Macaca fascicularis: one gene and its partner. The protein of the gene in region 2 purifies or fractionates together with the protein of the main gene of each other region. This does not show direct contact. Links are inferred from orthologs where the notes say so. Each region holds a gene or a part of one and is shown on either strand. Other genes may lie near its edges. The genes, in order: ANAPC1 and L3MBTL1.

What was found.
Region 1: the proteins of L3MBTL1 (region 2) and ANAPC1 purify together in Homo sapiens (affinity purification with mass spectrometry; 4 studies listed by BioGRID and IntAct, counting the BioPlex papers as one, with this or other methods). This does not show direct contact. The link is inferred for Macaca fascicularis from reciprocal best matches to the Homo sapiens genes L3MBTL1 and ANAPC1.

What each region holds. Positions count from the first base shown.
Region 1 is NC_088387.1:18,810,490-18,813,158, forward strand, and holds part of ANAPC1 (anaphase-promoting complex subunit 1), read right to left. Parts: intron 1,033-2,669; coding exon 898-1,032; intron 1-897. UniProt on the Homo sapiens protein: Component of the anaphase promoting complex/cyclosome (APC/C), a cell cycle-regulated E3 ubiquitin ligase that controls progression through mitosis and the G1 phase of the cell cycle.
Region 2 is NC_088384.1:99,589,332-99,593,942, reverse strand, and holds the start of L3MBTL1 (lethal(3)malignant brain tumor-like protein 1), read right to left. Parts: upstream 2,822-4,611; 5' UTR 2,755-2,821; coding exon 2,597-2,754; intron 1,638-2,596; coding exon 1,492-1,637; intron 1,294-1,491; coding exon 1,070-1,293; intron 769-1,069; exon of another isoform or gene 547-768; coding exon 405-546; intron 173-404; coding exon 22-172; intron 1-21. UniProt on the Homo sapiens protein: Polycomb group (PcG) protein that specifically recognizes and binds mono- and dimethyllysine residues on target proteins, thereby acting as a 'reader' of a network of post-translational modifications.

The DNA of each region.
Region 1 (2,669 bases), on a different chromosome or scaffold from region 2:
CAAGTCTTGAATTCCACCCTTTGTCTCCTCGGTCCTATGCTGCTGCAGACACTTTTGCTTACATTTTTGGCCTTGTGGCTTCTGCTAGATCTCTTGAAGTCTTACCCCATATATATGAAGGCTAAAATGTCGTAAGTAACTCAAGGGAAAGGTACATCCAGATTTTGAGTTATGATTCCTATTGTTCTCTCCTGCCTGCGATTTTGTTCCTCAAGTTCTAGGCTCTTGGACAATCACAAACCCAGCCTCTGGCTCCTCAGCCCTGCAGCACTGCTGCCTTTTGCTGGGACTCTACTTCTTGTGCTATGAACTGGCAAATGCCTTTGGGGGAGAAGCTAGAGTGAACAGAAAGCTCTCCCTGTTGTACTTCCCTTTTCTTATGTTTTTGTTTTTTGTTTTTTGGTTTTTGGTTTTTTAGCTTTTATACTTGTTTTGGAGGGCAAGTGAGTCCAATACAAGCAATTCCATCATGGCCATAACTAGAAGTCCCTAGATAGTAAACTTTTATCAGAGGCTTTCAAAACAGCAAAAAAACTAGTAATGTAATTAAACTTCAAGTTTAAATGATTAAATGGAACAATCTCTGCCTTTCTCAAAAAAAATTTTTTTTGTATATATTTTAGTATATACTAAAAAAAATTTTTAGACCAGTGTTTGGGGCTCTGTGAAGAAGAATCCATCCTTTTCTGAATAAAAATGAAAGTTATTCATGTAAAAAGTTGATAATTTTTTTCTTTTTTGCTCCAAAACAGTTCCTAGCAATGACACTGCAACATTAATGAAGAGGAAAGTCAAACTAGGGACAATAACTAATTAGAAACTCTTCCTACCAAGAAACTAGAACATAAAGGGGTAGGTAACAGAGGTACCGAAGAGAGGACTCAGATATGCGATTACCTTCTAGTCCTATAGGCGGCAGGTGCCGTGGAGCTGGCACAGAGTGGTAGACGAGGAAGCAGGCCAGCATGCTCAGCTGCGATTCCTCCAAGGGCTGCCCGCTGAGGTAGGCGTGCACACACATATCACCCCCGGCTGCGAGAGAAACAAATGGAACTGAACCAACTGATGACAGAACTGAGAGGCACAAGAAATATCTTCTTTCTATTACTTTTTCATCAAGAATTTATAAGCAGGTTCTACAGCTGGTACTGAGTACTGAGGCTACGGTGACAAGCTAGACTGAGTCCCTGTCATTGTAGAGTTTAGAGTGTTGTTGGGGAAGACAGATATTACACAAATAATGACACAAACAAATGCATAATTATGAACTGTGAGAGTGCTATAAAGGTGCAGTGGTCACTGTGGTTGTCTCCCCAAAATACCCCTTCACACCCCACCCTCCACCATGTATTAGAATATTTGATGGGACAGACTTCAGCTCCAGAACTAGATCCTTATTAGTCTTGGCCAGCGGTTCTCAAGCTTTCCCATGTATCACAATCCCCTGGAGGGCTTGTTAAATCACAGATGAGTGGGCCCCACTCCCCACACAGAGCACAGAGCACAGAGTTTCTGATTCAGTAGGTCTGCGGTAGGGCCAGAAAAACTCCATTTCTAACAAGTTCCCAGGTCATGCTGCTCCACGAACCACACTTTGAGAATCACCGGTCTTGGGTGATCAAGGCAATCCCATTCCCCTGATACAGTGTTAGTTCAGAGACAGGCAGACCCAGGCCATTTTTTCAATAAGAGACAGTCTCTGCCACAGGGATAGATTGAGGGTGTGCATGAGATGCAACTCAGAGCCAGAAACCTGAGGAGGTACTTAATGACATGCTTGCTGGAGGCTCCAGGGAAAGAAATCCCCTCATTCTCATCACAAAGCTCCTAGAAGCAACTCTTCTTCTTCCTCTGGGCATCATGCTGAGCTAGAGGTGAACATGTTATAGCCATTTTATTACCATCCAAAAAAAGCACTGAGGATAAAGTCATGGCACAGAATGTAGCTGATGGAACCTCAGAGAAACGGAGTTGAAGACAATGGAATAAGATGACCCTTTACATGCCCTACCTGTGGACTTCTAATGACATAAGCATATTTGTGTCCTCACTGTTTAAAGACAGCTTACGTCAGGTCTTCTGTTACTTGCAAACAAAGGCATTTAGATGCAGAAAAAAAGTTGAGAGCATGAGCGGGCAGGCAATAGATGGCAGGAAAGCTGCCTGAGGTAGAGTGGTCTTGGAGGGCCTGGAGGCAAGGTCATTAAAACTGAGGCTGCAAGGATAAATATGAGTTGGACAGGTGAAGAATGAGAGGAAAAGCTTCTAGGGAGGGAAAACAGCATATTCAATGGCCCCACAGTGAAAAGGAGCTCAGTGTTTTTGAGGAAGTAGAAGAGGCCAGCGTGGTGTGAGGAGCAAGTGGTGTAAAAGAGGCTTTGTTGAGGAAAACAGGTGCCTTGCAGGTCACACAGGTCCTGGTGCCACACAGTAGGGATTTCTTTCATAGCTGAATCAGGAGTCTTTGAAAAGCTTTAAGCAGGAGTGTTAGATCAGTTCATTCTTTAAAAGACTGTTCTGTCAGTTAACTTGAGATTATTAGAATGGAGATGAGAAAAAGCAAGGAGGCTATTTAGGAGGCTATAACAGTGGTCCAGGCACAAAATAATCATTCTGTTCTAGGCAGAAGTAGTAAAATGTGGACAAATTCAAGAAATATCTATGATGAG
Region 2 (4,611 bases):
GCTGCGACCTCCTCCCCTTACCGCTCCTGGAACAGCTGAGGGCAGCCATCATTAGAGGAACCAAGATCTGGACCCGCGGCTTTGTGAGGCCCGCACGCCTGGCACTGACAGGTGCTATCATCCTCTGGGGGGTCCTGATTGGGATCTTCTGGAGGATTCTGGGGGTGGTCCTCTGCGGGGGCCAAATGGGCCTCAGGCCTCCCGCCCCATTGCAGCCACACTCAGGCTCCGCCCACGCCCCCACAGACCCTGCCTCCGCCTCAGTCCATCTCCGCATCGGATGGCCTCCTCCAGCCTTCTCCACCCCAGGACCACCCTGGGCCCCGCCCCCGGTCCTCCTGGGGCTCAGGCCTCACCCCACCCGCACAGGGCCCAGCTCAGGGCCTGGGGAGCGGGGCTCCTACCCGCTTGTAGGGGGCCCGCCTCGCCATCTCCAGCAGGGGCCCCGCCATCTTCGTATTCGGTCACGCCTTCCTGCCGCAGCTCGGGGCTCGGGGGCTGCTCCACTCCCGCCATGTTCAGCGGCTTGTACTCGCTTATCCGGAACTGGAGCGCGGGAGGGTCTGAGGATTGCGACTCCCGTACGGGCCCTTGACCCACCTCGGCGTCGGGGCCATGGCCCTCTCGTCGCCTCATGCCAGCTCACGCCCTCAGCAGGCCTCAAGACTCCATGCCAGGGCACCTCACTCCAAGCTATACCAGCCAAACCCTCACTCCAGGCTACGCCCCCAAGCACCTGCAGGGTCCAGTCCCCCGGTGCCCCACTCTAAGCCACGCCCCCAAACTACCACAGGCCCAGTCAGAGTGCCCCACTCTAAGCCACACCCCCAGACACCCACAGGCCCAGTCCCAGAGTGCCTCACTCCAAGCGACGCCCCCATAGTCCCCAGGGCCTAGGAGTGCTTCAACTCAAGCCACGCCCCTAGAGTCCCTCACTCAAAGCCCACCCCTAGTGCCCATCATTTTAGCCAGCTTCCCCCGCTTCCGCCTCAGGTCCGGCCTCCGGGCCCGCAAGCCCCGCCCCATGGCTGTGGTTTACGAGGTTTAGCCAATCCCCACAGACACTGACCCGCAGGCCGCCCCCAGGGGGCGGGGCCGCGGCCTCTGTCCATTCCAGAATCCGCACTGTGCTGGTGCTGGAGCTGGCCGGCCCGGCACTAAGCTGCGGCAGGACAGTGGCAGGAACCGGTTCGCTGCCGGCCACTTGCTCCGGGGTACCCACATGGATTGGCTCCCGGGGAAAGCAAGACACATCCAGGGCACTGCTGGGCAGGCCGAGGTTGGCCGAGCTGGCTGTAAACAGATACACAAATAGACACGACACGGGTGAGTCTAGTGGCCCTGCCTCAATCCTGCCACGCATGTGTAGGCATGTGAAGGAAGACAGGTGGAGGAGAGTGAAAACAGTCATCCCCTCTCCAGGATCCACACTTGCTTGTGCAAGTACAGAGATGCTCTTCCTCCCCAGACTCCTACCCTAGCTTGACTCACCTGGAATGATAAAGGCAGTTGCGGGCAGGTGAGGACCAGAACCGGGGCTGTCTCTGGCCACCAAGTGCACGCTGACCTCCCCTGTGGAAGGCCCCTTCAGTGTCCTCAGCATCTCCATTTCAGCATGCCCCTCCATCCTGGCAGGCCTACAAGCCAAACACAGCCCCCAGGGTGATCAGGTGGGGACCTCTGTTACAGAAGCAATGGAGATGTGAAGGGATGGGGCTTCTTTGAGAAGCTGGCCACCTTCAAACCCGTAACCTGCAGAGAAAGGCCTCAGTCCTGTGGGGAGTAGGGTGTCTTCAAGACCAGCATCAGGTCTGGCTCCTGTTCTGGCCAGGCCCTGCACCTCCCCAGTCTCTGTAAGGATGGTAAGGATGGGTAGGGTGGCATGTGTGAGGGTACTTTGTAAACTGTGATGTACAGCACTGACTCTGGGGAGCATGACTCGGGTCAAGGTTCTGTCTGGCCAGTTGTCTCCAGGACACAGCCCAGGCCACATCCAAACTCACCTTTTCCTTGACCCCACCTCTATCCCCACTAGAATCACTCCCTCCTCCCTCTGGGGATTCAGAGACCTCAAATACCAGGTATTCCTTCACCCACACAGGGATCATCTTCCTGGGAGGTGGGATCTTTCCTGATCATGTTCTTTTATGGCCCTGTCCACCACTCCCTCCAACCCCAAGCACAGGGTGGGCACTCAGATATCTGCTGAACACATGTACGCATCTGAAGAGCAAAGACGTAGTGTACGAAAATGCAGTCAAGTCAGTACGTGATTTTGTTTTAATAATGCAAAGGCAGTAGAGGCATTTCATAGAGTTCATTCAACAGGTAAAAACATAAAGAAAAAGACCTAGAGATACAAAGAATATACTTAATATCTATTTACTCAGCACCTAAAATATACTCACCACTGCCCTACTTGCCTTACCAGCACTGTCCAGTAGAATTTTCTGTGATCATGAGACTGTCCAATACCTAAACTGTCCAACACAGTAGCCACTAGCCACATGTGGCTACTGAGCACTTGAAATGGGCTACTATGACTGAGGAACTGAATTTTTTATTTTATTTTATTTTAGTGAAATTTAAAAGTTACCAGAAGGTAGTTACAGTGGTGCATGCCTGTAGTCCCAAGTTCTCTGGAGGCTGACCCAGGAGGATGGCTGAAGCCCAGGAGTCTGAGGCTAGCTTGGGCAACATAGCGAGACCCTGTCTCTGAGAATAAATAAGAAAATAAATAGCGACAGTAGCCATGACTACTGTATTGGACAGCACAGCTTGGCCTGTCAGTGCTACCTCCAAAACACACTGAAGGTCTAACCACTTCTCTCCATCTCGACTGCTGCCATGCTGGTCCCAGCCAATAGCAGCTCTCTTTGGACTTCTGAAATTGCCTTCTAGCCCATTTCCCTGCTTCCTTTCCTGCACCCCTACAGTCTACTCCCCAGTAAGAAAAACTTTAAAAACATAAACCAAATCACATAATTTCCCTATCTAAATTCTTCAATGGCTCTCTGTTGCCCTTAGAGTAAAATCAAAGTGCTTTGCCCTAGAAAATCTGACCTCTGCTTTTCCCTCTGGCCTCATCCTATGCCATTCTTCCCCTGTTCTCTCCAGTCAACAGACTCTGGTTTCCTTCTATTGCTTGACCAACATTCCCACTCACAGCCTTTGCCCTTGCTGTTCCCTACCCCTGGAACGCCCTTCCCCAAGCTCTCTGCTTAACTGGCTCCTTCCCATCCTCCAGTCCTCAATTCAATAGTCACCTCCTCAGAAGAGGTCTTTCCTTACCAAGTAATTTTTTTTTTTTTTTGAGATGGAGTCTCGCTCTGTTGCCCAGGCTGGAGTGCAGTGGTACCATCTCGGCTCACTGCAACCTCTGCCTCCAGGGTTCAAGCAATTCTCCTACCTCAGCCTCCTGACTAGGTGGGATTACAGGTACACACCACATAGCCTGGCTAATTTTTGTATTTTTAGTAGAGACGGGGTTTCACCATGTTGGCCAGGTTGGTCTGAAACTCCTGACCTCAGGTGATCTGCCCACCTCGGTCTCCCAAAGTGCTGGGTTTATAGGCGTGAGCCATCGAGCCCGGCCTGACCAAGGAATTTAAAGCAGCAGCATACCCCTCACCCCTTCCCACCACTAGCTGTCTCATTACTATTATATATTTCTTTCTTTCTCATCCTTCATTATAATCAAAAGTGATCTTCATTTATTTCTGTGTTTGATCAGTCATCTCCACATAAATGCTGACTGTCTGTCTTGTTCATTGCTATATCCCCAACACTTCGTACGTGGCACATAGTAGGTGCTTAATAAGTACTTGTGTTGGATTTCAGTAACTTGAACTTGTTAATAAAAAACAGTGTATGGGGCCAGCTTGGTGGCATGTGCCTGTAATCCCAGCTACTGGGGAGGCTGGGGCAGGAGAATCGCTTGAACCTGGGAGGTGGAGGGTGGAGGTTGCAGTGAGCCGAGATCATGCCACTGTACTCCAGCCTGGGAGACAGAGCAAGACTCCATCTCAAAAAACAAAAGCAAACAAAACACTGTATGGGTCCAATGCAGTGGCTCACACCTGTAATCCCAGCACTTTGGAGGCTGAGGTGGGAGGACTGCTTGAGCCCAAGAGCTCAAGACCAGCCTAGGCAACACAGGGAGACCCTGTCTCTATAAAAAATTAAAAAAATAAAAATTAGCCAGGTGTTGTAGTATATGCCTGTAGTCCCAGCTACTCCAGAGGCTGAGCAGGAGGATTACTTGAGCCTGGGAGGTCAAGGCTGCAGTGAGCCATGATCTCACCACTGTACTCTGGTCTAGGTGACAGAGCGAGACCCTGTCTCTAAAGAAAAAAAAAAAATTAGCTGGGTGCAGGGGCTCACACCTGTAATCCCAGCACTTTGGGAAGCCGAGGCAGGTACATCACCTGAGGTCAGGAGTTCGAGACCAGCTGGACCAACATGGTGAAACCCCATTGCTACTAAAAATACAAAAAATTAGCTGGGCGTGGGGGCAGGCGCCTGTAATCCCAGCTACTTGGGAGGCTGAGGCAGGAGAATTGCTTGAACCCAGGAGGTGGAAGTTGCAGTAAGCCAAGATCATGCCACTGT